Drosophila melanogaster: one gene and its partners. The protein of the gene in region 1 binds, or shares a complex with, the protein of each later gene. Each region holds a gene or a part of one and is shown on either strand. Other genes may lie near its edges. The genes, in order: Nprl3, Wdr59, Iml1 and Nprl2.

Region 1 (7,844 bases):
TACCTTCTTATTTAAAAAACTTGCAAGCAAAGCATTGAATTTTTACATTAAACCCGTTTTACAGTTTTTCAATTAAAATAAATTAAAAATATAACATGAAGAATACTTTCAACTGATTCTACAATTTTCACTGCTACTACATTTCATTTTAGATTAATTGTTCATTTTAAATAATATATTTATAAGTTAATTTGATATAACAACAAATAAGTCTAAATTTAAATACATATTTATTGGCATAGATGTTGCATCCCTGGAATTGCGCCAATTGGTATTTTTCTGTTTTGGCTTGATGGTCATCCGATACAGTTTAGTTATTCTTTTTGAATTGTATTTGCTTGGAATCGAAGGAAGCAACGAAGCCATGGATGAATTGGTGAAGATGTGCCGGGTGTGTATGGACGAGCCGAAGGACCTGCTAGACATCTACGACAACAAGAGCTTGGGGGACAGACTGAGCGACGATCTACAGCGAACCAAGGAACCGGAGCCCACGCCGGCTGATTTGCTGAATATCTGCAGCGCATATCCAGTGGATACCGGGGACGGCTTTCCGCTGAAAATTTGCGAACCGTGCCTTATTAAATTGCGTGAGGCCTTGAGATTCAGGAGACGCTACACAAGGACCATGGAATACGTGGCGCGCGTGAAGAGGGAGCAAAGCGACAAGGAGACATGCGATCTCCTGGAGGCCGAGGATTGGGATTTTACGGATCGCATCAAGAGCGAGGAGGAGGAGGAGGAGGACGATGGGGACCGGAACGATAAGCAGCCGAAGAAGGAGACTCGCAACGAGGTGGATAAGAGGCGGCCCTTCAAATGCACCGACTGCCAAAAAAGTTTCACCGGCAAGGCCCAGTTGACCATGCACAGGCGCACCCACACCAAAGGATCCACAAGGACCAGACGAAAAGCTCTTAAATAGTCCTTGGCAACGCTTGGCAAAATGTAGCCAACTAAAATAGTAATTAATCATCTTGTATCATCGTTTTAAAAATAAGTTCGATATATTTTTAAAGTAGAAACAAGTTAGCGACTAATAATGAAAGTACATATGGAGTGTAGTTTTAAAAACAATTTCATGTTCTCATATTGACAATAAGATAATAAAGAAATGATAATCGGATCGATTCACAACAGTTTTTAAGCAGCTTTCTCACTTTGGTTGCGATTACTAGCTTTGTCGATTTCAAACAAGAAATTATTATATGGACATTCAATATATGAAAATACCTTTAACAAATCTTAACTATTTAAACTTATTTCTTTTTGTTTCTTGGCTGCTCGTCCGTCGCTTCCCTCGCGTGTGTGCTGACATGTGTTTTTGTAGGCCGTTTAGTTGCTTGAAGCTTTGCTGACATTTGGAACATTTGAACGGCTGTTCGCCAGTATGAGTCCGGGTGTGGACTTGCAGTTGCCCAACTTGCCGGAAGCGCTTGGGGCAGTTCGGACAACCGAAGGGACGCTCGCCGGTGTGACAACGTGTGTGGCTCTGCAGGTTGCCCTTCTGGGCAAAGGATCGCGGACATAGGGAGCACTTGTAGGGTCGCTCGCCAGTATGTATGCGCATGTGAATCTCTAGGTTTTGTTTTTGGGTGAACGACTGTGTGCAGAGCTTGCACCGATATGGTCCGGGAACCCTTTTCGGTTTGCCCCGTTTTGAGGCGTTCCAGATTTTATCATCATCTTCGTGTTCAAGCTCACTATCCGGGCTCCATGAGTCATTGTCCGAGTAGGATCTCGCCCTCCTCTTGGACTTATTGTGTGGCGTCTTTGCTGGAGAATAACTTTGCGCGAGCTTATGCTCATTGTTGTCTGGAAGAGGAGAAGATATTGGCTTCGGCTCTGGAGGCATGTACTTAACCTGCACAAGCTCAACTAAAAGAGGTTCGGATGTCTCCGGCGTTTTACCAGCTTCCATTACCGAGACCGGCATCTGTGGTTCTATGTTATCCCCTATATTCAGGCAATACTCTATATCGTCCAGCTCCTTCATCATCAGACGCAGCTGTTCAAAGTACTGATGGCTCTTTCGGCATTGCCGTCTTAGCCGATAGGCATTTCTTACGGCCTCCGCACACTCCACGCAGATGAACTGCGGCATTCCGTCCTCCTTATGCACGCTGCATCCGCTGCATTCCCTCAGCATTGTGGCCAAGACCGGCTCCTGCTCCTGGACCCGATTGGAGGAGGCATATGGCTCTGTATATATATCCAACAGGCAGTCGGATTCGTCCCTGCAAACGCGGCACATTTGCGAAATGTCCATCGTGGCCGAGCTCCAGAGTTTCGTAGGCAGGATCAAAAATATACAATATCAACAAAATGCAACTATTAAAATACCAATCACTGGAATATACCAACAAAAAAATACCGAATAATCAGCTGTGCTTCGCATCTTATTAATTTATCAGCTTTGATTTATGATTTAAAGTTGTTTTTTTAAGTTAAAAATGGGTTTTTCGTATTTTTTAAATATTTTATTTTAATCTGGCTCTTAGAGCATCAGAATATTCCCCACTTATCGATATACCTTAAAGCTGTACAATGGGCGCGAAGCTTAAAATGTAACGCTGTTTTGAATATGAGTAATTTTTTGAATTTGTATGAAATCACGGAAAAACATAGTTTGACAATAATTGAATTGAACTTAAGAACTTGCTTGTACAAATAAATAACAAAATATGTAGTCTACAAGCGTAAATTGATTTGCTTCGCAAACTTTACAAAATTAGATGCATACCTATTTTATAGATTATATTCAAAAACTAAACAAAAACATTCAACATTAAAATCTAGGAATGCAAATTCGTCCCAAACTCTACTTGGTATTGTACATGGATGCAATTGCAGGATCTTCGGTTTCGTAAATGATAAGCACATCCCTGAATTTATCAAGCAATTGCAGCAGTTGCGAACGTCGCAGGTTCTCGAAGTACATGATCTCCTCCAGATGATGCTCGCTCTTAAAGTAACCCATCTGATACAGCTTCACAAGCAGAGATAGATCATCCACGTTGGCAGAGGCGGGAATTCGACGGATGGCGGCTCGATCCGCATCGCTGAAAACCTGTAGCAGCTCCTTCAGCTTCTGCTCATCCTCCATGGAATCGAGGCTGTCGCAATTGTCCGTGCTCATCGAGGCGGTGATGCTGAAATTGGACTTGTGGCTGGATGATGGCTGCACGGCGATGTTGTCCGAGGCCAGTGATGAATGGTCCTCGGACGCCTCACGACGATGTCCGCCCACCAATACCGCTGGCACTGGCAACGGATGACTGGACATGCTAAGCATGGAGCCATGCAACTCGTCCGCATCTGGTTCTTGGTCTCCTTCTTCATCGCTAATGGCATCCCTTAGATGGTTGCTGCAGGAGGCCGAATCTCCGAATTCATCCTCGCTGGGCATAAACTGAACGTACGTGTGCAACTGCATGAGCAAATGGTGCTGCAGCATCCAAATCACCATTTGTGCGAGGATACCCTGTCGCGCTGGCTGCTGCAGTGGCGTGGTTAAGTGTCCAATTGAAGTGGGCAATGAAAAATCGGAGATCACCTCGAACAGCGACATACCGGCAAAACGGGCCGAGAACTTCTCCACCAGGTGGGACTTGGTGTGCAATGGTGCATCCGGCGCGATCACATAGACATTTGTCTCGCAGAGTGGATAAATAATAGTTGCCTTAGCCCAGTAGACCAAATGCGAGACGAGCTTATAAACATGCTCGATACTCAAGTCTGCATTGGAGGACATGCTCTGCAGACTGATCAGTGGGTCGTAGACGTCGACTAGCTGCCATAGCATGCGTGCCCCAGTCGGTGGAACGCAGTCCAACAATTCGGCAAAGTCGACCAGCAGCAACATGCCATGATAGGGCTTCAGTGCACGAAGGCACCGATCTATGGTCTCTGGATCCACCATGCTGCCCTTCTTATGGAGCTGGTGTGCCTTAGCGGGCAGACAGAAGCACAACGTTAGGTTGTGATTCAGCGAGGTACTCAGCAGTCCAGTGGTGCATAGATCATGGAAGATGGAGCGCAAGGCCTGTGCCAAGCTGCAGCGCTCTGCAATCAGCTCCAGTGTGCGTTCCAGCGGCTGTTGCTGCTGCTCGTCGTGTGTGCGAGCCATTTGAGCCGTCTGCTCGGTGAGATAGCCACTGCGCTGCTCCTCGAACTTCAGCGCCAGTCCAAGGCGCTTGCTCAGTTCGTGGTAGCACTTAACAATCGAGTAGCTGGCCTGTGCATGCAGCGCAAAAACAATGTTGATGAGCATCTGTTGCTTGGCCATTGGACCACTTCTCTGCTCCTTTTGCGGTATCAGAGTGGGATGACTGACAAAGCGTACGTCGTTCAGTTTGAGTTCAAACTTTTGGTTGCATAGCTGTGGTTTAACAGCAAACAGAGCGGACAGGACCTCATCTGCGAATCCCTGCAGTTGTCCTTGGCTCTTGGCAGCACCCAAGTGGGTGGGTGTCTGCAGCAGATCGTCCGTATTGGCCACGGCATAGGGATTGCGCTTTCTGTGATTGAATAAATCGGTATAGTCAAGCTGAGTGCCCTTTGAATTAATAGGTAGTACCTGGACTTCCGCTGCTCGTCGTTGGCCACCTCCGTTTGGCCGAGAGTCTGGTACGGATACCTGTACAGTAACCGATCCCCCTTGCTATCGAAGTAAACCAGGATTACGGCCAGGGGATTCACATTAGTTTCCATGGCACACAGACACTTCCCCTTTTATGTAAATTAAAATATGAACATTTGCATTATCAACTGGGGTCAGGGTCAACAAATAGTTGGCTATGTTTTCAAAAATACTTTATAAATCGTAGTTTGCTACAGAAACTACCTCAACAACTCTTTATTTATTTATTAGTACCTCAATTTGACTTCATTGAGAAATGGAAGCAAAGTAAATAAATGTAAAATATAAAATATATTTACAGCAGTGTGGCTCTCTTTTAGTTTGCATAAAATACCAAAAACTTATTTAAAATAGTAGTCATGTCAGTTTTCATTTTGCAGGCGAAACAATAATATAAATGCAACGCAATGGAATTTTTTTAAATCGTTTAAATTTACCATAGATACCTTAGATAATATATTCAAAAACTAAAAAATACTAAACGAAAAACGGTCTTACTATATAAATAAATATATATCGGCAAGGCTAATAGTATAGGATCCCTGGTCGAGCGATAACGATCTATCGCTCCGCTGTAGTGTGACCGTCTTCGGTTGGTCAGTCTCTAATTTTTTAGAAGCGGAAAGTTGTGAGCAAAACGTGTGGAAATTGTGCTCGAAACGTCAACAAAAAATTTGTGAAAATAACTGGGAGCGTAGTATGCGAACGCGGCAATCGCAGAACTATGAAATTCCCCTGTGAAACATGTTAGTTTGGCTGTAAAAGCACTTTTAAAAATGACGATTTCTTATTAGCGTGTTGGAAAAGAGGAAAACACACACATTGTGAGAGGCAAAATACGTGCGGATCGTAGGTGGGAGCGAGACGACGCTAAACGTGTACTAGCCGCGGTCTATATATACATATATATAATATTTGTGTGAGTGTAGGAGAGGTATAACTAATTCTACAAAAAAATATAGTTTACTTGGCTGAGTGGTTCGCTTCTGAATTAGTTTCGCACTCTTCGGCAGTATGGTGGCCAATAAGTTAATTTCAACTAATTGTCATTTACTTGTAGGTTTGTTTTTCTACTATGTCTTCGTTTCTGTATCTATTCCTTGTATTTTGGAAAATAGGATTAATAAGTGCCTAAAATGTAAATAGCTTGTGGTTAAATAGTTAATAACATAACTATTTTACTTTTTGTGTATATGTGCGCCAACATCCGTGTGTATAGATTTTACACATACCTACGTAGAAAGGCATGCACAGATATACGTTTGTGTGGGTATCAACGAATAGGCGGAAAGGCGAAATCGAAATATGTACGTACAGCATTTCGGAATGGCCAGGCGCAGTAGTAATAGGCTAAACAGGGAAACAGCGCAACACAAAAACCAAGAAGAAGAAGCAGGGCAGGCGAACAAAATAAAATAGGCGATAATAGTCAGTTGGCATGTCTTGTCCATAGGCTAGAACGGTCACACTAGCTATATGGTCTGCTCAAACCGACTGGTCGTCTCGCTCTTACACACGTCTTAAGCAATCCCAGTTTATGTGTTTTCCTGCGCGTTTTGTCTTCTGCTTCTTGTGCCATACGGTATTAATAATAATAAAATTGATTAATCAAAGTAGAAACATTTTAATTTGTGCAGGTAGTAAACGTTCGAAACAACGTCGCGCCATCACTTAAATGCTGCAAATCAACAATGTGCAACGGAACAAAAAAGAACCAGTGTTAAAGTGTATACAAATTTAATTTGTATTTATAAAATTGAAATATAAAGTTTCGAAATAAAAAATAAACCACGTAGCTTGTCGTTAAATTAAATTAAGTTGTGCAAAATGAAGTGAAAATTCAAAATAACAGAGTAAACGGTGAGTAAAACTAGTGTGTGTGTTTGTATGTGAGTGCGCGCCCAAATCGGAAATATTTTGAATCGAAAAATATACAGTCGAATGGGTTATACATATCTATTGGATCACATATATATGAAATTCAGATTTTATTTTGAGTCGAGCCAGTTAAATAAATATTTCATTTGTTGATGCGTCGATTTTGTATGGTTTTTTTTTTTGCATACTGTGTGTCGCCATATTTGATTGCATATTCTTTTTTCAACTAACCGTCAGTATAGCGTGCTCGCTCGCACAGCTTTGCGGGTTCATTTGTTTTGCTTTCGATTCCGTTTTGTGCAACGTGAAGGTAGATGTGCGTATTATGCCCCTCGCACAGAGTTGCCAACCCGAAGCAATTGTTTTGTTAAATTTCAAGTTGTTTTTAGTTTGTTTTGCTCGAGTTTCTAAGGAGATTATCTAAATCAGTATTAAAATCATATTTCGATTTGGCACACCCCTCCGCATTTGGATTGCAATGTGTATGCCGTGCAGTGTTTTTGTTGTCTCTACCAAAATTTTGACATGCGCATCAGCTAGTCGGAAAAACTTAACAACAAATCGACCGCAAAGTGAAATTAAAGTTGATGAGAATTAGTTGAACGATATCGACGACGCCATGTTGTTCCCATTATCCAGAATGTTAGCACAGAGCTATATAGTTTTTATTTTATTTTCTTTCGCCCTGTTTTCGTCAAACTTTTTATTGCGTGCTCCAGCGTTTACACGCCTGTACGCCGTGAAGTTGGCCGCAGTTAACATAGCTAAGTGTTAGTGTGTGTGTGGGGAGAGCTATGGTGGTCTCGCTCTCGCTTACAGGCATTGCTCGAATGTTCCTGTTCTGCTCTTTGCGCATACGTGATTTTTGCAATTGTTATTTATGCCTTGTGCTTTGTACGCGCGAATTTTCGCCACAAAATGAAAGCAAAAGTTGATAGACAACTTTTTGCCTGCGCTCGGCTTTCGTTATTTTCTGCGCAGCGCAGACAAGACCATCGTCAAAATATTATTTCGCGAAAGCTAAGCCATTCGATAATTTCAAAGGTTGTCGCGGAACGAAACCAAACCGCCACAACCCCCTAAAACCACCTCCCAACCCCACAGATTTTTTTAATGGTGTAATATCCATAATAAAATCCCATGCAGTCTCAATTCTTGATTAGTAATTGACCGAATTAGACGGACCAGAACTAGCGAGCAAGTGAATTAAAATAAGACGCAATTAAAGTTGACACTTTGTAGCTGGTATGCAAAAACTAAAACCCATTTTACGCTTGGCGACTGTTTCAATGAAAGTACAGCCAAAGCAATGCCCCTGATATTG
Region 2 (8,861 bases), on another chromosome or scaffold:
TCTTAGCACCAGCAACACCAGCAGCAGCAACAACGCGGGCGGAACATGCGTTGATTCAAGTGGAACTGGAGAGCTAAATGCCAAAATGGAACTACTCATAGGTAAGTGGTTGTGATCTTCAATCAGAAATTTTAAATATTTTATATTAAAAGAGGCATGATGGCGTAACGTACTTCAAATACTAACAATTTCACATAAATTATTTGCAGATCTAGTAAAAGCCCAGTCCAAACAAATAAACAAATTGGAGAACGAAGTCAACAAGCTACAAAAGCAGCAAGAAGCGGCGGCGGCCCTGCATAGCAAACAAGACACTTCATTGGAGCCTAAAAATCTTAGTCAGCTAGCATATAAAATTGAGATGCAACTGTCCAAGCTAATGGAGCAGTATCTCAAGCGATATGAAAACGAGCATAAGAAGAAACTGACGGAATTCTTGGCGGCGCGGTAAGATACATATAACAAATTTTCCGGGGCACAATCCAAGTGAATACTTTTTGCAGTGAGAGCCAAAACCGAGAGCTACGTGACTCCGTGCTGCAGGTACTAAATCAGTATGTCATGAACCACTTTACGGACATTATTGGCAACGTTCTCAACATGGAACTGCAGCGCCAACTGCTTCCTCGCGTGAATGCCAACATGGATCAGCTCCAAGCCCAAATGCAAGTGGAGATTGTGCAGAAGCTGAGTGTGTTTGACAAAACGGTGAAGGAGAATATTGCCCAGGTGTGCAAGAGCAAGGTACGTAATCTGCAAGTCCATCTATAAATGCTTATAATTAAGCGTTTTTTTTTCATTACTTAGCAATTTCTGGATACTTTTGGCAAGTCCGTGTTGATTGGTGTTCAAACCAGCCTACAAACCGCCTTCATTGAATCTATGAGCAGCACCTTGATTCCAGCTTATGAGAAGTCCTCGCAGAACATGTTTAAACAACTGCATGACGCTTTCAGCGTGGGCATAAAAGACTGTTAGTATATAATCATTACAATCATAATGGATACATAAAGCTCCTTCTTTTGAATTCCAGTTATGGTCCAGTTTAACACCTACCTGCAGCACATGCCACAGCCCCAAGCCGGGAGTGGCAATACGGAGGAGATAAACAACAAGTTGTCCATGCTTAAGCAATTGGTAGAGAGCAGCTTGCACAAGCACCGCACTGAACTCACGGACGCCATGCTCGAGACACAAAGAGAAGTGAAGAGCTTAGAGATTTTGCTGGCGCGTCAGGTACAGGAAACGATCAGAGCAGAGCTACGCAAGCACATGGAAGCCCAGAACGTGGCAATGCGTTCGCAGGCAGCTACGCCTGCACCACCTTACGACCTCAGGGACAGCATTAAGCAGCTTTTGATGGCTGGACAAATCAACAAGGCCTTCCATCAGGCTCTATTGGCCAACGACTTGGGCCTAGTGGAGTTCACTCTCCGACACACGGACAGCAACCAGGCATTCGCACCAGAGGGATGCAGACTGGAGCAAAAGGTTCTACTGTCGCTCATTCAGCAAATATCCGCTGACATGACCAATCACAATGAGCTTAAGCAGAGGTGAGCTAGGAGAACTAAACAAGTAACAAAACATTACAAAGAATTACATTGATGATGTACCTTTTTCATTTGTAGATATCTCAACGAGGCACTGTTGGCCATCAATATGGCAGATCCCATTACCCGCGAGCACGCTCCTAAAGTGCTCACCGAGCTGTATCGCAATTGTCAGCAGTTCATTAAGAACAGCCCCAAGAATTCGCAGTTCAGCAACGTCCGTCTGCTGATGAAGGCAATCATAACGTACCGCGATCAGCTAAAATGATATCAAGAGAACTATAACCTGGCCAGTGGCTGGTTTTGATAGATTACCCATCCGATCCCCATCCAAGATAGTTAATCTATGACCACAAACACATTTATAAATACACGCTTGTAGTTAAGTCCAAAAAGAAGTTAGTATGCTAAAAAGCTCTCAGCTAAGTTCATCCCTTAAAAAGTTGAAATTGAATCTATGCCTTTCATTTTATTGTTTATTTGTTTTGTGCGTGATTTGTTTATAGTAAGGCCGTATATCTAATGTTTATGTCGCTATATCAAAATTGTATTATCTTTATAATGATTCGCCTACTAAATTGCAATATATTTTTTTATTATTTTATTTTTGCGTTCCTTTTATTTTCCTTTTTATCTTTATGACGCTTAATGAACAAAAGAAAACACACAAAAACAAGAATAGGAGCTGTAGAAACTTATTTAAAAATTATTTTCAAAACTAAAGCAAACTTTATTATGACGGACAAAACAAAAAAATTATTAGATTGCAAATGCAAAAACTACAAGTAAATCGTAGAATTTAAGCTAAAAAAAAAAAAAAAAAACAGAAAGCAAAAGTCGATAATAAAAAAGAATAAATGTATGTACTTGAAAAAATCTAGAAACAGTTCTTTTTGAATTATCGTAACCATATGATTTTGGTTAAGTGTATAGTTGCATAAAGCTTTTACCCTTAGCTTGGCTAGTAAGTGGTCATATATTTCTCAATGGTATGCAAATCGTACAAAAATTGTTGGCCTAATGACTAAAAAACACCTAACTATTTTGATATCCACACAGACGAAAGAAAGTTAAGTAAGATTATTTTTGAAAGGAATGCACATCACTCAAGGTCTGAATCAGCTGAGTAGGGCTAGCAGCTCTGAGGTGCGCTCCAAGCACTTGCAGCCACACGTAGCACAGACATTGTGTTTCTGAAAGTTAAACAAGAAAATAGCAAACATGAATATATTTATATCCATAAATCCATAAATCCAAATCCATACATCGTTTGGTTCGTGAAAAAGAAACCAGTCGAATCAAACTCAAATAGATACCAACCTCAAACCACTGCATCATGTGATCAATGTGACCGCCATGGCCACAAGCCAGACACGCATTGGCTGCTCCTTTCACAGGCAAACGGCAGAGGACGCAGAAGAGTACGGGTCGCTTGCAGGGCTCGCATTTGGGCGTCCGTTTGGGCTTGGCACACTTCCTGCACTCGGTAACGAATTCCACACCCTGGACTGGAGGTGGTGTATTCTGCGTGTGCTTGAGGATCAAAGCCCGCTTCGAAAGCAACTGCCAGCCAAATAAAATTTCGGCATAGGCGCGCTTAAATTGATCAAACAGTGGCATCTTAGTCCGTCTAATCAATGAGCAAGCGTATGCATCAGACTGGATTTGCTTAATCTCCAAATCCAGGGAGTCGGACCAAGAGTTGCTGCGTAGTTGCTTAAGTTGCTGCCAAGTGTTCGATGAAGAAGATGACTTGACGTCAAGCGGCAGGACCGTGTGATACGGTGAAATTTGCGAGTTAAGCTGCGGCGGAAGTCGAACTGTCTTCTCCATAATGGCACCGCCACCCGTGGGGCACTTGTCAAACAAACAAGCCAGCAGCACAGCAGTCTGTATGTCACCGGAGATAGCATAATGCATTATTAGTGATTCCAGCAGAGATTTCTTGAAGGGATCTTTGTAGAACAGCAGATCGTTGAGTGTTTCATGTGGAATTTGGGGTGTGGCTATCAGTTCCGCCAATAGCCACACGGGCACCAAGTCCAAGCGCCCATGCTGGCGACAGATCTCACCATTTTTACGACACGTTTCTGCTATGTTGCACTTATCGAGGGAGAACTCCCGAGCCATTCTCCGACTAATGTGGAGTAAGCTACTTGTGTCGTATACGTGAACCACCGGACTTCCATTCATCTGTCGGATGGCTCGCTGCTTGCCCGGTTTTCCCGAAATCATCCTCTCCTGGAGGTAAAAGGAGGCGTTAGCTTCCCTCTGGGCGGTGGCCATCACATTGCCTAGCAATCCACTACCATTAATCGATGAAAAAGTCCGTGGAGTCAATGCGGTGTGTTGCCGCAGGGTCAGCCTTTTGTTGTTCACTGGTTGGGCGAAAGTGGTCAGCATACCAATGGCATTGAAATGGACCCCTGACGTCCGCGGATATGGAATGCAGGCATCGTGCAGGGTGCTCGACAAAGCTCCTTCCAGCCGAGGGGATTGCAGGAGCAGTTGGCTACGATCCGCTCCGCCTACAGCGGCCACCTTTTTCTTCATAGCCGCCACTAGAGCACGTAGGCATTGTTCCAGGCACGTGCGGGATTTCTTGACCCGTTGCAATGCATTGCAACGGAGCACTTTTAGCAGAACTCCACTAACTTCACTGGACAGAGTGGTTCCCTGGCAAAGCTGAAAGTCCGGCGGAGCACTAGGACTTGGATACGATGTCGTGAAAGTCACTTGTAAAATAACCGTGTGTCCACCGGCGCAAATCTTGAAGCAGGCGTACCGCTTTATGGCATCTAGTGTGTCTACCTCCACATGAGGCATGTTTGTGTTGAGCAGCGAGAATTCGTGGTGCAGCGAACACGTGGGTTGATCTGTTAGTGATCTGGCTATGTGGGGCTCTTCCCTGCGATAGTAGCCACCTCCAAAGCTCGGGGAGCGAGCCATGGGCAAGGTATTACAAGCACCGTCACCCGTGGATATGGGCAACGAAGCGGCAACCAAAATTGATCGTGGATGCAGGAATTCTGGAGGAGTAGGCACTCTTAACTCACTGAGATCGGGCTCGAAACGGGATTCTATTTCTTCCGCAGACGGTTCGCAAAGCTTTAGCATATTATCATCGATCTTCCACACCCGCAGCGTGCGATCCCTGGACCAAGTGACCAGTTCCTAATTAAAGCTCAATGCATAAGTAAGAACATTGTGGTATCTTTAAAATACTTACTATTTCATTGGAACTTTCACGATTTGGACGCCAGGCAAAGTCAAGAATGACATCGGTGTGCCCCACGAAGGAACAAATAGGGTCCGTTTGCTTGCTGTTGCTCCAGAGCAGCAAACTATTCTCTCCGCGTCCCAAATGGGGCACCACAATGCTAACCAGACCGTTGCCAATAGGCTGTATGGAACAAGATGTATTTAGAATAGCAATCAATATTGATAAACCAATATAAATTACCGTGTATCTCGCTCTCCAAACGGGCGACATGGTTGTAATGATCTTCTCGGCCCTGCGAGGATTACATACATCAAAGTACTTGACCGTTCCATCCTGACTGGCGGTTGCCAAGCAGGTCTCCCTTTTGTGGCTCCAATTGATGCCATGCACTCTATTTAAATGTGCTGTGATATAGTGCGTCGGGCAACTACCCTTGCGAATATCCCAGATGCGTAAATCTCCATCATGGGCAGCAGCCAAAAGGTTGCCCGAAACGCGGTTGAATCCCACTTGTGTAGCACCAGCTGAAAGAATTTTAAATATAATATAAAAAAGTTGAAATTATTTTGTAGAAACTTACACATGCACACGGCATTCAAGGACAGGGCTGGTTTCCTGGGCTCCCTTAAGTCCCAAATATGAGAAAATGTGTCTATTGAGCAGCTGACCAGCAGATTCGGATCCTTGCCGTGCCAGTCAATGTCGGTCACTGTTCGAGTATGCCCACGCAAGGACATCTCGTAGTGTGGTTCCGCAGTGCCCCAGCGAACGATGTCTATGTGCTGGCTAGTCTGAAATTCAAAGGTCAAACTGGGATAAACGCCGCCTATACGTAGATAACTTTATGTATTTACCGCTATGGCGCAGTACTCTTTGCGACTGGGACATATGGCAAACTCTGCTACGGACACCTCGTACTTCGATTGCCGTTCATGTCGTCGCAGAGACCCATCGTCCTGTCCCAAACGCTGCAAAGCCAGGTGACCACGGCCCGCGAGGAGCACCCACTGACCCGAGTAATCAACCGACATGGCCGTGGCCTGGGAATCTCGGTGTTCATAGTATTTGTTGCTCTGCCTGACGATGTACGTTTGTTCGGGTGCTCCTGCTCCCGGTCCACCGGCTGTTCCGCGTTCTCCCGGACGCAGTGTCTCCGTGGGCGGCATATTGTCCTACTCTAATAAGTGCTCAAAAAGCAAAAGACTGCGAATTTAAACCATTTTTGCAACAAACAAAAATTAAACGAAGAAACTGAACTGATAAGAACGATAGACAATAACAACAGGCGTCTGTGTTGGCAATTAAGCATTTTTTCCGACAAATGAATTTCCAGGACCTCGTTAAGCTGGCTATTTTTCAATAATGCTGTTGCTATAGTTTTTGATAATATATTAAAAAAATTACAAAATTAAACTAGAACATTATATGAAAAAATTGTACCTAATATTTTGTCGCAAAAGTTTGTAACACCCATAAATCTAGCTGGAATAACGACAGCACAACTATAGCTGAAAATGTTGTTTTTTCGATAGTATCGATAAAATTGTGGTTATAGCTATCGGGATTTGAATTTATGATATAAAACAGGTAAACGAGCTCAGAGCAAAATTTATAATTTTATATATATGGTCTTGTTAAATAAAAACGTTCGATTTTTTTTATAGATTTATTACATTTTATAAATTGTCAATCACCAAAAATATACATGTGCATTGGTTCATAAATGTTATGAAAATTATTAAAGTACGTGGCTAAATATAATTTAGCATCTAAATAAATTTGTAACTAGAAAGGGATATTCCCAATTGACTCATTTATAAAAAGTTCATCCTATTATTCATTTATTAACTCAGCATAAGGCTATAAATCATGAGATACTAAACAAAAAGTGCATTATATATGTATATAACAACTCAATTATGGTCTACAACATTAAGTGCTACATATTTTGGATACTATTATTTATTTATATGTTCGCCACTTCCCTCCCTAGTCAGTAATAGCTTATCATTTATTTTACATACACAAAGTAATTCTGCGGTTATTACGATTATTAGTTCATTCAGTTTATTGTCCTCTAAGTTAGTGGGAAATAAACAAATTCCGCTCAACTACCGTGACTACATAGGTGCCTAAGACTGGGAACTCCTTACGGCAAAGGCTAAAATTGGATAAGTATTTTTATACAAACATTGGCTATTTCATAGAAATAAACTAGGTTTTATGGCTAAGGCTACGTTAATGGGTTTCAAGTCTTTGACGTCAAACACATCCTCCCCATCCCCGAAAGCTCCCAGTTACATTGCCATTGCCTTATCTGTGGCAATAGCAGAACATTTTTAGCGCCGGATCGTTGAGACAGTAGCTCTGGCTTCCGTACAGATTCAGACGACTAATGGTGCCCGTTAGTACGGTCGTATAGCCCGTCATCCGCACCGTGGACTCAAACACACCCAGCCCGGGCTTCGTCTGCAGTCGCAGGGTGATGTCCACTGCGTAGTCCGTGGAAATGTTCTTCACAATCTTCGAGTGCGGCGCTGCAATCAGAGCCTGGAGTATGGAGTTCAGGTATAGGGTTCTGCACTGTGAGCTATCCTTCAGTCGGTTATTGATCAAGCGTACCAGATAGCGCGCCGCCCGCTGGACACGTGGATCGTTTGTCTGCAGCTCCTGGCGCTGATGGCAGGTGCACCAGTGGGCGGCAATCCCTGCCTGCTCGCAGGTCCGAGCAGCCGGGATGGGCAGGAATAGGCTAATGCCTCTGGGCAGCGTGCTATCCGGCTCGTCCATCTCTGTTGATCTGCGTTGCAACTGATCTGCCTCCAGATTGTGAAGATTTAGCAGCTGCAACATTGTCGCGTGCACATCAAATGGTGTGGTTAGCCGGCGGGCATTTAACCTAAGATTGGCAATTGCCTCCGGATAACGCTCGGTCATCCATGGCGGATACAAAAGCATCATTAGGGGCTGGCGCTCCTCCATCATGCCCTGGTAGGTACGACGAAAGGAACCCCATCTCAGTCCGTGATCGGATAGCAACATTACCACCGTGCGATTGAGCAATCCGGAATCTTGCAGCTGCATCAACTGTTGCAACATGGCCTCATCCAGTAGTGAGGGGAAATTAAAATAGTCATGGGTTAGGGCCACCGTCCAAAAAAATGAAAAGTAAAGATCCCTGCTCATTCGTGGCACCAATTTCTTCATATACTCGAGCAGCACATCCGCCGTCCTCCGGCTGCCCATGCACAAGTGCATGTTGAGGTCCTTCTTGAAGGCCACAGTCTTTTCCATTTCCATAATCATGGGTCGCAGATAATAATCCGTTGGCTGCTTTCGGAACCCATTTTGATTGTAATTGAATGCCGAGAGCATTGCCACATCCTCGGCGAAAATGGAGCGATAACCCAGTTGCTGGTAGCGTTTCCAAATGAATGAGCACCTATCATAGGATCGCAATGTCTTTGGCGTGCAGGCCAGATTCAGTTCCTGATCATCCAGGCCACTTAGCAGGGGCACGAGATTGGGAAACGTATTGTCGCCCACCTTGTTGTAGCCCCAAAATTCCACGTGGGACAGATGCTTACGGACGTAGTTCGCTGTGCGGCGCATCTGGCGCAGGAAATTTAGATGCGACAGGCTATCCATGCCGAGTATCATTACGGATAGCCGTTCCTGCTCCTCCTTGCTCTTGTTGAAGCTCACCCTATCGGTTCCAGTCTTAAGTGGGGGCCTAATCCTTGGCTTATCGACTGCAAAAAAATGACAGTCCTTGTAGAAGAGTTTGTCCAGTGAATCATAGCACCACATGCAAATGAACTCCGAGCTGAGAGGCAGTTTCATAACTTTGTCCAGCTTAAAACTCACTGCCGGACTGTGGGTGTTACTAGAATCGGTTTTGCGCTTCACCTCCGTATAGTTGCAATTAACGGAGGACAGGTCACTGATGTTGTAGTATGCGAGCAGCTCACTGGCCTCCAGATTGAGATGCAGCTGTCCGGGAATTGTGTCGCTCGTCCGGATCAGAGCTCTGTTGCAGCTGTACGGACGTGGCTTGAAAATGAACTGGGCAATGGTGTCGTCGC
Region 3 (7,814 bases), about 12 Mb from region 1:
ATGGCGTACACATCCGTGGGCAGCACTAGAATGCGATACGGCAGCAGGAATAGCTCCTCCAAGCTGTTGTCTGGTCTTCGGATCAGAGTCACGGTCAGAGATGAAGTTAGTTTGGTGCTGTACGTTTGCCCAAGAATGAATATTCCGAAGAGGATCAGAAAGGTACTAAAGCGCCTGACCGGCTTGCGGTTGCCATATCTGACTTGACCAGCACCAGGCACTCCTAGTATGGCCCAAAAATGTCCGTCTGGAATCAGGCGGCGCACATACACGAAGTGCACTACGAGCAGAACAAACAGCAAGCACAGCCACATGGTTAAACTAAATGGCAGGAACACATAGAGGCTCCTCGAAATTTCATTGTCCAATGGGATCATGAAGCAGCGCGGTGCCACCTGCGTGGGATATGAGTAGTCCACACTGGTGTTTGATTGCAGTGTGTCGTACAAGTGCGGACTCAGCTCCACCTTGCCCTTTACAATCAGATCCGTGAGCGCAGCCATATTCAGCAATGAAGAGCCATTTACTTCAAATCTAAACAAATCCATGGTCACGTTCAGGTGCATCATCAGTTGATTGATCAAGATCCCGCCCAATCCGGCCAGTTCCCAGGCCTTCGTCCTGCGATTCTTGTACCAAAAAGTATTGGGCACATCCTGCTGTACGGGCAATCGCATCCTGTAGCCTCTGAAATTTTTTCGATTTGCAGGCGGAAAAACATGATGCGGATCATAGGAGGATAATCTTCGCATGCGTATCACCCTAACAGTGGGATATGGATCCATTTGGTAGAAGTTTCTGGCGGCCACCACTACCAAAGCGCTCCGGAACTGCAGTTTCCACAGGAGTTCAAAGAAGTATTTAATGTCCTTTTGCGACTCCTGCTTTCTTAGCAGGAACATAGTCCTCGTGTAACGCCTTCCTCTGGCTCTTTCGGCCTGCAAGTAAATCACCGCATCCTTGGAATCCCTGGCGAAGACCAAATATATGGTCTCCTCATCCTGCAGGCTGCTGAAGTGGACGTGCGAGGAATCCTTGTCCGTGGCCGTCATCTGCGGCAGCATGTAGAAGTGATTGCTGCTGTTGCACATCAGGCCGCGATGCAGATCGTCCAGATAGCTGGGATCAACAGATCCCAGGCTGTTCACTATAGTGATGGCATGCAAGCGATGCACGCGGCCGATCCTGTCCAGAAACAGAGCCAGCTCGAAAGCGCGGTCAAAGTTTTCGGTGGCCACGATTTGGTAGCGCGACAAAAACAGCGCGAACAAAAACTGAAGATACATTTTCGCTCGTGAACCATGCCAAACTGACTGGGATTTCCATGTACGCCGAGTACTTCAAGTGCATCTCGAATTATTTGCCCCACGATACGATCTCTAAAACAAAACCTGAAAACTGTTTGCCTAACACTTACCCGTGGTAATTGCTGGTGTCCACTCTTGCTCCCCAGTGGCTCCCCAGAGGTAAGACTTCGCCTGGGTGGCCGTCAGGTTGGGCACATTGGCGGGCTGGGGGTTCATCGGCGAGTTTTGACGCCGCTTAAAGACTGCGTATACAAAGCAATGCTAGTCGAGGAGGTTTAACTTTAGTTACTGCTACTCACAATCAATGGGCTCATCACCCATCACAAAGCTCTGCGAGGAGTCTGACTTGTTGAGCAGCGAATGGCTGGACACTCGGTCGTACTGCTCTCCATTTTCGCACCCGTAATCCTCCTGGTCGTTGTTGTTGTTGCTCTGCGTCTGCTGCAATGGTCTCTGCTGACCAGCCTGCGTGGGTTTGGCGGGCACCGCTTGATAATGATGCTGCTGTATGAGTACACCGGTTGGGCCCTTCGGGAATATGTGCGTCCAGCGGCGGCGATTGGAGGTCAGCTTTATTGTCACTTGCGAGGGATCAAAGGGATTGATCAGAGCGCGACCCGGACGCACTATGGGCGCAATGCTAACGATCGTCCTGCGGGAGTTCTTCTCCGAGGCCAGTGACTCGGAGAGGTTGGTTGTATCCGGTTGCTAAAGTCACATAAAAACAGTTCAAAAGTCAGGTAAAAAGTCAGTATTAAGATTTCCCTTACCAAGGCAGCCAGCATTGCAGAGGTGCCGTGATGAATATCGGGATCGGACATCTTGCGCCGCATAGCCGGGATTTGAGTCGGCGTGAGGTTCTCCCAATCGTTGTTCCTATAGGCATAGGTCTCTAAACTGGGCACCGATGTCTTCTTAGCCCGCACTACACGCTGCAGGGAGCTAAGAAAATAAAACCTTGATCAACAAAGCTAAAAAGGTAATTTTGTAGCACAATACTACCAAGTACTCTGAGCGGGGAGCGGCTGGAAGATCTGTTCATCATACGCATCGTAATCAAAGAGCGAGTTGTGCTTATACTCCGACTGATTGCAGCTCAGGAAGTGACGCTCGTTCTCCTCGCCCTCCCCGTCGCCAACGCCATCGTGGAGCGTCAACTGGGATCCAAACAGAGGCAGCTTGATCCGTGGTATGAAACTGGAGTACACAATCTTCTTGTTAGTGGAGTAAAAGCTCAAGTTTATCCAGTGGGGCAGAGAGTAGTCATCGGCGGAGGTCAACGTGGTGTCTTTGTTGTGGAATTTGAGAAGCGGAACCGCATGCAGTGGCTGCTCGCCCACACAGACCAGGTCGCTACCCACGCCATTGTCGATAATGCGCTGCTTCGTGATATTGGTTAGCTCTCGATCCACGGAAAAGACACCCACTCCTGGGGTTATAACCACGGATAGTTGTCCGGTGCGGTCGAACGTTCTATCCAAGTAATGCTTTTCGAAAGTGTTCAGCGATATGTTTAGCACCTCCAAAAAGTTACCCTGAGTGGCTGAAGAATTGGTGGCCGGTGGAATCTTCATGTTCTCCCGTTCGTGGTAGCGCAGCACAGTGGCCTGTAAACGGCGTAGTAAGTTTTTATAATAGAATAAATTAAAACATGGTTAAGTGACCTGGTAGGACGTGAATAGCTTTCGGAGCTGGCCCAAAACGGTACACCAATCATCACAGCGCTCATTCTGGATGGCCACGCGGTAAAAGTCCTCGTAGAAGCGACCCTTGTAGTCCTGCTGCAGGCAGTCGCGCATATGCTCGGGAAACTCGTCCAGGCTCTTGGCTGCGTAGAAGGTGCGGGAGAACAGCACGATGGTCACCTCGTGGTTACAGCTCAATTTTCGCCACTTTTGAAAGAGCTCAGTGAGAAACCCATTGACTGCCTTTTCGAAGTACAGGTCTCCGTGGATGTCAAAGTCCCACATCTCGGAGGACATCTGCAGGAAGAGGTACACCATCGAAGTGCTGCTGCGGAAGACAATCTTGGTGTCCTCCGTGATGACACCGCTGGCCACGCGCTCGCCTTGCGACCACATCTCGTACACCTGGCACCGAATCTGCATGTCGTTGTAGTCGATCTTCTTGTTCACATACACACAGGTGTCCGTCTGAGGGAGAAGTGGTACGTTAAAAGTATATCCTGGTCTGAAAACTGCGTGATTCCTTACCAGGTAGGTCTTCAGGCGCCACATTTCCGAGCGACCCATGTACTGGTCCTTGAAGGTAATCTCTATCGAGTCCAGGGCCACATCCGCCGGCTTAACTATGCGCATCACCACATTGGAGTACGGACGCATTTTGAAGGCATTGGCGATGCCCGATTCTATGCTTATCACATCCCGGCCACAGCTGCCATTGAACTCGGTGATTTGGAGCAGCAGGTGGGTGCCGTTCTCCTCGTCGGGGGCGTAAATTTCTACCACATCGCCCACATTGGCGTTGGGATGATCCTTTAGATTCATCACCAAGTCCGCATCTGTGCCGAAATTTCCGTGTAACGTAATGTTTGCGCAATATCCACTTTCGCTTACCGTAGGATTTGTTGCAGCCACGCGTATGCGTGTTCAGCTTGTACAGCTTCATGTTGACTTAGTGGTTGCAAAACCAACGGACAATTATTTACTCAATTCCAACATTTGCCCATTTGCATGCTAGTAAAATAAAAATTCTATTTTTTCGTCTTTTGTTTTGATTCCTTATCTGCAGAGTGACCGCAGGCATGGATTATTTGGTATTTTCCTGTACAAATATACCGAATTTAATGTTTACCTTTAATTGTTATTGTAATTAATTAAATCACGCAGTTTATTTATATTTTTCAAGGTAGCTCAACACTTTTATCTTTTATTGAAAAACTAACTTAATCTGCATTCCCTGTCAGCTTAATTATTTTCATATATATTAAATTAAATAATGATTTCAGTTACGTAAGCTTTTCTGTTATGTATGTTATTGTGTGATTTGTATTATTCGTCACAAAATTTGAATTACCGAACGTTAGGGGCAACCGATGCTTTCGTCACTAGACTCCTACCAATTCAGCGGGGATTTGGTGCGTTGCTATTGACTGAAATTTTTTTGGCATCTATGAAGCCTTTTAATTTACCCACAAGTGTAGCCAAAAGTTAACATATTTTACAAACTGGCGAAAAACTTTACTAATTAAAATAAATGTTTTTTTATATTATCGATTTAACACATATACAGTTGCGTAAAAAATAGCACCACCATAGCGCGTTTTATTCTAGATACAAATAATTAAGGTTGCACCGAAATAACGCAATATTTTCGAATAAAATTTTTAAAAATAGTTCTGGGTATTTTTCCTATTCGAATATAATAATAATCTGTAGAATGCATATATTTTTTGCAGCTTTATGCTTATATATGTAGTCAGTCTGCGTCACAGAAGCGCAATCGATTTCTTTCAGATAAGACCTTTTTAATTAAAAATGTAATTTCACCTATACTTCTGGAGGAAAATGATTGTTACATCGCATTAAAAATAAACACCCCCACGCTAATCAGTTTGTCCGCTCCTGAATCTATCAATTTCCATCTTTCTGACCATGAGTTAATCTAAGCAATTAGAACGTTCTATTTAAGTTTTCCGTACAGCTTTATTGTTTACACATATTTATTTGCTTAATGAATTTATCACGAAGTGACTACAAGCTGCATTCGTTGTTTTTCATTGAATAAATTTTATTGGGTCGCAAATATCAGTGAGTACATTTCGACAAAAATTGTTTAAAGACAGTTCGTTCGCCCGCGTAAATGGGTAATCCTCCGTCCTCAGTCAGATAGCTGCACTCGACTCGCTCCATTCCGGGTCCACCATCCATCCAGCTTCCATCATCCGGACCCCGGACTCGTATTTATGATCCTCGGCGTCGGGGATTGTTTCGCAATCGGTTGTTTGTTTATTGTTTGTGGTGATTAGAACGCCACTGACGACAGAGATCGCCAGATCGGGCAGATAATTCGCATTCTCTACTTATAGCGAGGGTTATGTATACAATCGAGGCGCGGGTCGCTCACCAGGATGCGTCGAAGTCGATTCGTCGGTTCGAAAATGAGTTTGCTCGTATATATGTAACTAACAATGCAAAGGGTCAAAGGGTCGTCGTCCTCGTCAATCACAATCTCAATCTCAACATGCAGCTTAAACGGTAGACAGAACCACGAAACTGGCTCCTAAAGCTAACTAAACACGTACGGACTACAAGTAAACGTTAATCACTAGGGAGGATGGGCTGGAGCACCACTCTCACATCGCCACGGTGGCCAGGACAACGGTGATGTCGTCCGGCTTGCCGCCACGCGCCTGAATGTTATTCCTCCTGGCGCTGAGGGCGAAGGGCGAGAGGAACTCGCTGTTGAGGGACAGGGTGCGCGCCATCAGCGCCAGGCTGTTGGCCGTCATCTGGAGCTTGACGGGATCGCGTTCGCCCTCCACCTCGCTAAGCACCTGCAGCATTAGATCCTCGGGCACGTTGTCGAACACTCCGTCGGTTGCAATGAGAATCACGTCGCCATCCCGCACCGGAAAGCTCATCGTGTCCGCCGACTCAGGGCTGTCGCTGAGGACATTGGGCCCATGTCCCGGCGGCGGCAATGACAGTTGGAAGGGTGTGTTAAAATAGTGCTGCTGCTCCTCGGACTTGTGAACCACCTGGCCTTCGCGCACCACAACGAAGCCGCTGTCGCCGATGTTGGCCGTGTGCACGGTGCTCGTCTCACGGTTGAGGATCAGGACGCAGGCGGTGCTGCTGCCCAGTATGGGCTTCTTCTGCTCCATCAGCTCGCAGTAGCTGTAGGCCAGCAGGTTGACTGGTCGTTGGGGATTAAAGTGGCTGCACTGCACCAACCGCTCACAGGTGCGCATCAGGAACGATGAAAACTCTCCGGGATCGATGCCATAGCTTCGCCAGCCGCCCACGCCGTCGGCCACGCCCATGACATCGGCACTGGCGGTGGAGGCCTTGAACCATGAGTCCTCGCCGTACTTTCCCGGCTTGTACTTGTGTCGCAGGTTGTCCTTGGCGAAGCCGCACACCACCGACACGAAACGGGGTCGTGGGGCGCCCGAGGATCCTGGTGTCGCTCCCGACTTGGTGGCCCCCTTGGCTGCTGCCCCACTTCCGCCACCCGTGGCCGTTTCCAGGAGCGTGGAGAAGCTGCTGCGCAGGGCGCGAGAGATCGCACGCGAGGTCCAGCTGAGTGACGAGTGCATCGCCCAGAACTCGTGGTCTCGTGCTCTCAATCAATCAAATCAATCGCATGTGGGGGGGTGTCGGATTTGGATTCGTTTTATTCGTTTGTTACGACGTCGGAGTGCTCCTCCTTGGCGTTCACTCCTACACGCCACTCCTCCGCACTCGTTTTTTCCGGTGCAAAACTCCTGTCTCGACGGGGCACACAATTTACGTTCCAATTAAATGCGAAATGTTATGTGATGAAGTGATACACTTTTTCTCGTCAGGTCGCGATCCGGTTCAGAACTGGTTCGGTGCTGGTTCCCCACCCCAACTCTCCGCTCCTGAACGGGTTCCGAAACCATATACACCCTATTGTAGTAGTGTTATTTTCGGAACCAGTACAACTCGTTTATATACACCAACGGTATATATAACAAAAAGGGTGGTAAAATATGCAGCTTTACTTATTGCTCAAGTTTTAAAAAACAAACATATTTTTCGATGCAATTGTTTTTCGCAAGTATTTTTCTGCTGGTATTTTAAAGAAACCCCCTTATGCTTTTAGTTGAATTATTATAACGGTCATTTTCTTTTGGTTTACTCCTACTTACACAGCCTGGTCATACTGGCGACCAAAGTAGTTTGTTTTTGCCAAAAAAAAACTCAGGTCTGCTCTACTCCGCGATATTTGTTTGCCCAGCTGGTCTTTGTTGTTGGTAGGTCCAAACAAACACGCAGCCAGTGTTAACCCAGTTTTGGGGCTAGTGATTGCTGTGGCTCCCACGGCCCAGCAGCGGGTTAAATACGACAGTGTAATTGTGAAAGAGGAGAGTGTTGTGTTGTTGGTGGTGGACGTGGGCAACGACATTGGCATAGAAAATTTTGCATACACTCTCCTTCGCACACGCACACCTTCGTCGAAATTGTAAAAATAAAACAAACAAGTAAAAATAGCACTTGGCTTGTTGTTGTGCCTAAAGTTGTACGTATTTTGCAGACGGAAATTGATTGGTTGTGTAAATTCGAAAGTGCACGAAATCGCGAGCGCATAACGGTACATGTATACACACACAAGCAGCACACGCACACACATGGAGGCAGTGCTTTTTGTTTGATGTCCCATTTGGCGGATTAAAGACAAAGAGAGAGAGACAGAGAAACGGAGGAGGAGGACGAGGACGCGATGACCACAAGGGAGAATGTGGTTTCTAGTCGCCTGTCCAAGCTGATGCTCAGCAGCGGGAGTGGAAATGGCAGTGGC
Region 4 (7,050 bases), on another chromosome or scaffold:
GATAAAGCCGTTGACAGAAGCGGTTTCCCTTTTTGAGCGCTGCGGTTTCGCCCTTGGCGTGCGGTGAAAATGCATTTTCCCAGCGATGCCGAAGAATGGGGAAAACTGCATTAGAAATGAGGAAAAACAGTCGCCCGTGAAAATTGGTTTTCGGTTGGTGGTTTTTCCCACTTCAGATAATGGTCTTTCCTGATTTAAACCGAACGTCATTGTTTTTTCTTCAATACGTTGAATATTATCAAATAATGATCACCTTGATCTTTCAATTTAAAATTTCAACGCTTTGCATCATCAAAGTTATCGACTGTTGATTTCGATAGGTGTTTAAATGATAGTAACGGTATTTTTTAGTTAATTTTTAAGTTTAAGTCAACAGTGCTGCCAAGATTTCAAACTAAATAAGCTTTTGTAAGACAAAAATGTACAATGAGTCCAATTTTCAAAATTGATAGAGTACAGTCACAGTATTTAAGCTTAATATATTTCTAATATATATTATCAGAAATTAAAACATTGCTTAATATAGTTATTTCCACAACAATATTCCTAAAACCTGGCATCCCTGGTCAGTGCATTCTTTGATCGTTAGTAAGATACTAAGTTGCATTCCAATTATAATTAGAATATTTTAATTTGCAAGAATTACTTTGTTTTAAAACCATTTCATTGCCAATATGAGCAGCTCTACGCCAGCTTACTACAATGCGGATGCTGTGCGTCAGGTTCTCACCTGGCCGCTGGTCAATAAGGCAGTGGAATCTGCACTTGTAGCTATAGTTAAGCAGAATCCGGAAACGCCCTCCACATCCTTTGCCTTTCAACCGAAGAGGACTTTTATTCCATGCGGCAAGGAACCTGGCAAGGTTCTGCTCACCATGCCCGCCTATGTGGGCAACTACAGGCTGGAATCGTCAAGGGATCCTGGGGAAGTGGAGCACACCCACTCAACACTGGCCTGCAAGTTGGTGACCTCGTTCAGTGGGAATCCCCGACGGGATCCTCCGCTGCCCAGCATCCATGCCCATGTGCTGCTGTTCGACAATCAAACCGGTCAACTGTCGGCCATAATGGAGGGCACGGACTTGACCACCTGGCGCACTGTATCCGCTTCACTGGTGGCCACCAAGTATCTGTACTTCAGGCGCTTTGGGGCGCAGGCGGAGCAGGAAAGGAATATCAACGTGGCCATCGTGGGCTGTGGAGTTCAAGGACAACTCCATGCTGCCGCTTTCTGCGCGAACTTCCGGGTGAGGCAGCTTAATCTTTACAATCGCACGCAGGCAAAGGCACTGGGTTTAGCGGACCAACTGCGGCAGAAATTGAACACCGAGAGCGGAACCCAGATTACTGTATGTCCAAGTCCTCACGAAGCTTGCCAGGATGCCGATATCATCTGCATCGCCACGTACTCCAAGGAGCCGCTTATCCAGTTGGCAGATCTGAAATCCAAACGGGCTGTTCATATTAACGGTAGGTCTGCTGTTATAATGGAATGCTGGATGGATGATGATGACCTACCCTTTATAACTTTCGATTTCAGCTGTGGGAGCCGGCGAAGTTCACTTTTCGGAGGTGGCTCCAAAGATTTACCAGCAGGCCAAGGTCTACGTGGATTGCTATGCCAATGCCGAGGCTGAATTGGTGGGATTACCTGCGCCGATCACCGCTGAAGTGGGTCAGATCATTCTGGATGGAAACTATCCCAAGGAGCTAGAAATCAGCATCTTTCAATCCATGGGTGCGTTTTTATTAAGTTTGTGTAACTATATGACTATCTCTGTCTGTTTCAAAGTTGTATCATTAAAAATTTCATACATTTCCTATTTAAGGCATGGCCTCGGAGGACGCCTGTGTGGCCCAGGCGGTTCAGGATTGCATTATCTCTAGCGCAAAGGATTCCTGATTGCTGTCCAGCTGGCAAAGCGATTCCGGAACCAGCCCAAGCCAAACCAGTGAATTCTTAAACTTTAATGTGTATATGCGCGTATATAAAAAAGCATTTGGAAACATAACAATCGGTTCGCTTACAAACTACAACAAACCCAACTGGCCGGAGAAGTCCTTCCGGTCGTCACTTCCAGATCACAGTCACATTCGTGTCCTTCTCGATATCCCGCTCGATGGTGCAGGGCGAGAGGCCCGTCTTGCAGCAGATCTCGTCAAAGCTGATCAGCCCGGTGTACATCTTCTGCCGCCCGGAAGGCACTGAGCCCGTAAACACCGGGTACTTGTGGATGCAGCGAATGAATCGGTGCTGCAGCCCGAAGATCACCATGCGACGCTCATCGATGTTGTGGTGCTGGGGGCACAATCTCTGGCAGATCGCTCGCAGAGTAACGCCGTGAGTCATCGAGGCGTAGAACTGAAAGATGCGCTGAACACTGGGCAGCGTCTTGTCCGGACGCAAGGCCACGTATTTCCGGCATGCGCCGCTCAGTGATGCGCTCTGGATGAGATGCTTTAGGTTCTGCGTCATGTACACGTTGCTGTACTTCAGGATTGGCAGCAGCTGAACGACCCCGTAGTAGACCAGATTCTGTATGCACGACTTGACCAGGTCCGTTTCCACGTCCGCTTCGGCGGCAATGCGGGCAACATGGTTGATTCCATTTATATAAGGCAGGATCTAGAGGAAACCATAACAGTCCAATGGGATTACTAAATTATTTACATCGTGAAGATTGTATAACTATAGAATCAGGAATAGTCCGCACCTGTTGTGTGGTAAGGTCCCAGTTGTCCAGCGGAGCATCGCGCAGGTTCGCCAGCAGCAGGGGCACCATGTGATCCTTGACCGGCGGCGGGTCCGGCTTGTGCATGACGATCTTCAGGTATATAGTGTTATCGCCCTCAACAATGGTGGCCACCTTCCGCTCGTTAAGGTCGCGTAGTACAGTCTCAAAGATGTTCTGTAGGCGGCGCTTGTCATCTTCGCGAGACAGGAAGCACGACTCCTCCTCCATCATTATGAGGTACTCGGACAGCTTCTTGACGACCGGCTCGTACTGGACGCTCCTGGCCCGCGAGTCGCAGACAAAGCATAGGTTAAACAGGAAGGCATTCCGTGCGTACTTCTGCTGATCCTGGATGCCCACTGGATAGCCGACTATCTTTACATCCATTGCGTTGACGGTGAGAATGCAGCGTTGAAGATGCTGCTTGGGTATGATGTAAACATTGATAGCATCGAACACATCCTTGGATATGTAGTTATCAGGAACCTGAGGGACGTGGATTTGTTCGAACTATACTGCGTTATCAGCGCTCCTGGGAACCAGCTCACCTGGCAGCTTATCTTGCAGCCCGCCGTCGCATGAAACTCGCTGAGGAAGATGCACCGGATCTTGCCCTCCGTGCTGCCATGGGCACCCGCTGCTCCAGCTCCTGATCCGCCTGCTCCATTCGTGACCGCGCCCGCCGTTGTCGACGTCGCAGCCGTCTCATTCGTATGGGAATGCATGCCGTTCAAAAGATTCCAGTATCACCGCATCCACATCCTCTGCTTCCTTCCGCGGAGTGGACTCCAAAGCTTTAACAGCAGGTGGCACAATCCAATAACAGTGGCGGAATTCGCTGTAATGTTATGGTAAGCGATGCTTTAGTGTGACCATAGCCTTACTGCAACAAATATACTCCAATGCAAAAACCAATTATAACAAATTTTAACAACAAATTAATTCAACACCATTTAATTTGTTGAGTAGATCGTTTTATTCATGTATAAATTATCTGTTATGTTAATATATAAAGGCCAACTGTAATATGCGTAGGTGGGGTATATTTTAGCGCTCGCTCTGCGGTCATACTAAAATTTGCAGAAATGGAAACGTGAGGATTGTTTTGTTTTTATTTAGTTTTTCCATTAAACAGCGAATAATATGCAGATGATAACGCTTCCATTTCAGGATCAATCCCACGTTCTCGTACCTCACCAATCTGGAGGTAATGCAGATTCTACAGAAGATCAAAAGCACCAAAAAGAAGTTCGGCATGCGCAACTTGGCCACGGTTACCTATGAGGTGTCGATTTTTTTAAATATTTAACTAATATATGATAAATTAACCAAACACTTTGTTCCACAGGCACTGCAGTATCTGGAGGAGTCGCCCTGCAAGACACAAACTCGTGAGAACATTATGAATTACGTTAAAGACCTGTCTTCTTATCGTCTAAAGTCCCAAGAGATCCTGCAAATGATCAACGATCCGCCTACAAGTGCACTACACACGCAACTGGTAAGGATTAGTCTATCATATGCCAGAAAGGCTAATTAAGTATATAATAACCTCCCCAGCTCATCGACGACAATAAAGCTCCACTAACCGATGAGGAGAACGAGAAAATCATTCAGCTGAGCTACAAACACTTCCATGGTGGAGAAACCAAAGGCGCTGCTAAGGAAACACCGGCGGAAAAGCCTGCGGAGTCCACTGCGAAGGCCGGCAAGCAATCTGGCGTAAAGCGTAATGCCCAGGCAAAATCCAATCCAGCGGAACAAATAGCTCCAGCGGACAAAACCACGCCAGGTGATGGAGTTACTCCTGCGAATGTCGCTACTCCTTCAAGTGAAGCCACTACTACTACTCCAGCAGAAGAAGCAAGCCCAGTGGAAACATCGTCTTCAGAAAATAATGCTACTCCAGCAAATGAAGCCACTACAGCGCCTGCAACGGATGCACCCACTTCAATGGAAACCAAGTCCAATCCGACACCAGATGGAGAAAACCTCGGGTAGCAGCCGCCAAAATAACCCATCCGCTTATTACGTTTAACGTTTCATATATTTATGTTGATGGAGCGTATAAAATAAGCTAAAAAAAAAGGTAAATTATTTATGTTCGCTTCTGATCGCCCAAATCCTCGATGACGTCCTCATCGATCTCGGCCCATTTTTCGGGTATGACATCGAACAAGTCATCCTTGACGTCACCCTGAATGACGATCTCGTCGTCTCCGGTAACCGAGGAGCCGCAGGCAAATTTCGTGCCAAAGAACTTGGCGGCCACCTTGAGATCAATATCTGGAACAGACAGGGAATGTATTATGCTTAGTTAACAATAAAGCTCATAAGTATATCTAATATATCTAAGTTACATGGTATGGTAATGGCTACTCATAGCATCCAGTGGGCCCGCATCCCCCTCCATTTCCTACTCTATACTCATAATGTGCGAACAGAACCTACCAAAAGTGCTCAATCCTGTGACCACGGTCACTGACTTCTTTTTGCCACGTGCCGCCCGCGAGACGCAGATACGCTTGGGCACGTCCTCTTTCTTCTTGACGCGCAACAGTCCCTTGCCACCGCGTTTCTGGCGCTTCTTGTCGTCATCCGTCCCGTCAGCGGCGGCAGCCTCCTCCTCAATCTTTAGTCGCTCGAAGTCATCGGGCATGTGGAGCTCCAGCCACTCCTTGCACTTCTCGTACTCCGGATAGTACTCGCAGTACTGCGTATAGTGGATATATATATATGTAAATATATGGGCCATATATGATCCCTAATATGGATTTTTCCCAGGTTTGAAGACGAACTCACCTCAATGGGCATCGTGCAGTGGCCACAGTACTTCATCTGGATCGGATAGGTGACGCCTTCGCGCGGACCCAACTGTAGGCGGTCGGCGACGCTGTTGGTGCCCACATCTTCGTTCGTCATTGCGGATCGGATTAACTGCCTGGGATTTGCTCCGGGTTATTGAAATATTAAAATAATGACAGTTTTAAGAAGTCGGCTACTGCAAACTGACCGTTTTTGTTTAGGCTCGTAAAATATACTAACATTGACACATGTTAAATAAATACCTACCTAAAATATACCTTTATTTAAATCGTAGTACAATTCCGACTATCAATAAGCTAAAATTAAAATTTACGTATTTTCATTAATTTTACATTGATTGAAACTATTTTAATTTATACCTTGTATTGTATTACAAAATACTTATTAAAATTGTATTTATTGGCAGAACAGAAGAATGTTTCGATAGTAAAATACCAAAATATGTTTGCCTATCAAAACAACACTCGTGAAATACTGCATGAAGGAAGCGGCATTTAGAATAATTTGCCGGTTTGTAACATGCAACCAAAGTTTTTACCAAATTGTATCACAGTAGGCTGATAATTGTATTCGAGCACAAGTCAGCCAAAAATATCCAGTTGCTAACGAAACAAGGCTTAATAAAATGGTCACATACAATACTCTAATACAGAACGAAAAGAATGAAAATGTGGTCGCCCCGATAAGCCGGCCATTCGCCAGAAAGAGGAGGACTGAGATTCGCCGCCTGCAGTCCAACAGGCGGTTGAATAAAAAGGTGTGCAAACACCATTTGGACATTGCCCATTGTACCCAGAAGAAGGCTCCATGGCGGAATTGGGCATACCTCATTCTCGCCCTCGCCGCAGGAATTGGCATGTTATTGCAGTTCACCGACAAGTTGTCCACGGTCAGCGGATTCCTGGAAAGCTACAAAAACCAGTACCACTCGATCGTCCACAACCAGGACAACTACTGCAATCCCTCCCGACGGCTGGGCGACATGGTCCTGCACGCCCGCCACCAGGTACTCAACCAGGATCTTGCATTGAACCAGCTAGAACTGGCACTGGACAACACCACCAATGAGGTGACTAGCGGGGAAACAGTAGATTTAATGTGCATCCTAAGCGGATTTTCCATATCACTTAGTATAGTTTACTATTGATTGTACTACCAGTTGTTGTATATGCTCATCCAGATTTATCCTGGTTATTGCAACAAACAACTAGATGATCTTTAGTAAACTTAATGAATTGCCAATATTTTGTGTATTAATATCCCGGATCTCCTTCCAAACAGGCAATCGTCTTGGTGGGCACCTCTGGCGTAGGCAAGAGCCACACTGCGCGAATCTTGCGCGAAACGTTTCCCTGGCCCGAGAACGTGAATACACTCTCCTGGACCGGCAGTTCTTCTTTGGGCCGAGTGAAGAGCATGCTATCCGGCCTGACATATTGCGGACAGAATATGATCTTGATTGATAACATGACGCCGAAGGATGCACACT

Evidence for each region.
Region 2: Nprl3 (region 1) and Wdr59 share a complex: the UniProt entries of both Drosophila melanogaster proteins name them as parts of the GATOR complex.
Region 3: Nprl3 (region 1) and Iml1 share a complex: the UniProt entries of both Drosophila melanogaster proteins name them as parts of the GATOR complex.
Region 4: Nprl3 (region 1) and Nprl2 share a complex: the UniProt entries of both Drosophila melanogaster proteins name them as parts of the GATOR complex.

The regions. Positions count from the first base shown.
Region 1 is NT_037436.4:13,996,914-14,004,757, forward strand, and holds Nprl3 (nitrogen permease regulator-like 3), read right to left. Parts: upstream 4,968-7,844; 5' UTR 4,877-4,967; exon of another isoform or gene 4,732-4,876; 5' UTR 4,714-4,731; coding exon 4,580-4,713; intron 4,521-4,579; coding exon 2,822-4,520; 3' UTR 2,467-2,821; downstream 1-2,466. Other genes in the region: CG17361 (uncharacterized protein), read left to right, coding at 293-925; CG17359 (uncharacterized protein), read right to left, coding at 1,250-2,269. UniProt on the Drosophila melanogaster protein: An essential component of the GATOR subcomplex GATOR1 which functions as an inhibitor of the amino acid-sensing branch of the TORC1 signaling pathway.
Region 2 is NT_033779.5:11,088,648-11,097,508, reverse strand, and holds Wdr59 (WD repeat domain 59), read right to left. Parts: upstream 6,066-8,861; 5' UTR 5,943-6,065; coding exon 5,631-5,942; intron 5,568-5,630; coding exon 5,357-5,567; intron 5,301-5,356; coding exon 5,017-5,300; intron 4,957-5,016; coding exon 4,783-4,956; intron 4,728-4,782; coding exon 2,874-4,727; intron 2,747-2,873; coding exon 2,672-2,746; 3' UTR 2,413-2,671; downstream 1-2,412. Other genes in the region: Ge-1, read left to right, coding at 1-101, 210-447, 504-744, 808-973, 1,034-1,556, 1,632-1,821; CG16854 (uncharacterized protein), read right to left, coding at 7,090-8,861. UniProt on the Drosophila melanogaster protein: A component of the GATOR complex, which functions as a regulator of the amino acid-sensing branch of the mTORC1 signaling pathway.
Region 3 is NT_037436.4:1,529,974-1,537,787, forward strand, and holds the start of Iml1 (increased minichromosome loss 1), read right to left. Parts: upstream 4,062-7,814; 5' UTR 3,936-4,061; coding exon 3,884-3,935; intron 3,829-3,883; coding exon 3,521-3,828; intron 3,461-3,520; coding exon 2,972-3,460; intron 2,915-2,971; coding exon 2,310-2,914; intron 2,250-2,309; coding exon 2,078-2,249; intron 2,016-2,077; coding exon 1,607-2,015; intron 1,550-1,606; coding exon 1,418-1,549; intron 1,287-1,417; coding exon of another isoform or gene 1-1,286. Other genes in the region: Ir62a (ionotropic receptor 62a), read right to left, coding at 1-1,286; CG12091 (uncharacterized protein), read right to left, coding at 5,623-6,588; pns (pinstripe), read left to right, coding at 7,737-7,814. UniProt on the Drosophila melanogaster protein: An essential component of the GATOR subcomplex GATOR1 which functions as an inhibitor of the amino acid-sensing branch of the TORC1 signaling pathway.
Region 4 is NC_004354.4:16,880,781-16,887,830, forward strand, and holds Nprl2 (nitrogen permease regulator-like 2), read right to left. Parts: upstream 3,586-7,050; 5' UTR 3,461-3,585; coding exon 3,284-3,460; intron 3,222-3,283; coding exon 2,715-3,221; intron 2,627-2,714; coding exon 2,072-2,626; 3' UTR 1,904-2,071; coding exon of another isoform or gene 1,830-1,903; 3' UTR 1,739-1,829; downstream 1-1,738. Other genes in the region: CG4872 (uncharacterized protein), read left to right, coding at 675-1,470, 1,541-1,738, 1,830-1,903; Polr3I (RNA polymerase III subunit I), read left to right, coding at 3,821-3,828, 3,906-4,020, 4,084-4,236, 4,296-4,736; DENR (density regulated protein), read right to left, coding at 4,834-5,021, 5,187-5,448, 5,538-5,657; CG4880 (uncharacterized protein), read left to right, coding at 6,187-6,630, 6,843-7,050. UniProt on the Drosophila melanogaster protein: An essential component of the GATOR subcomplex GATOR1 which functions as an inhibitor of the amino acid-sensing branch of the TORC1 signaling pathway.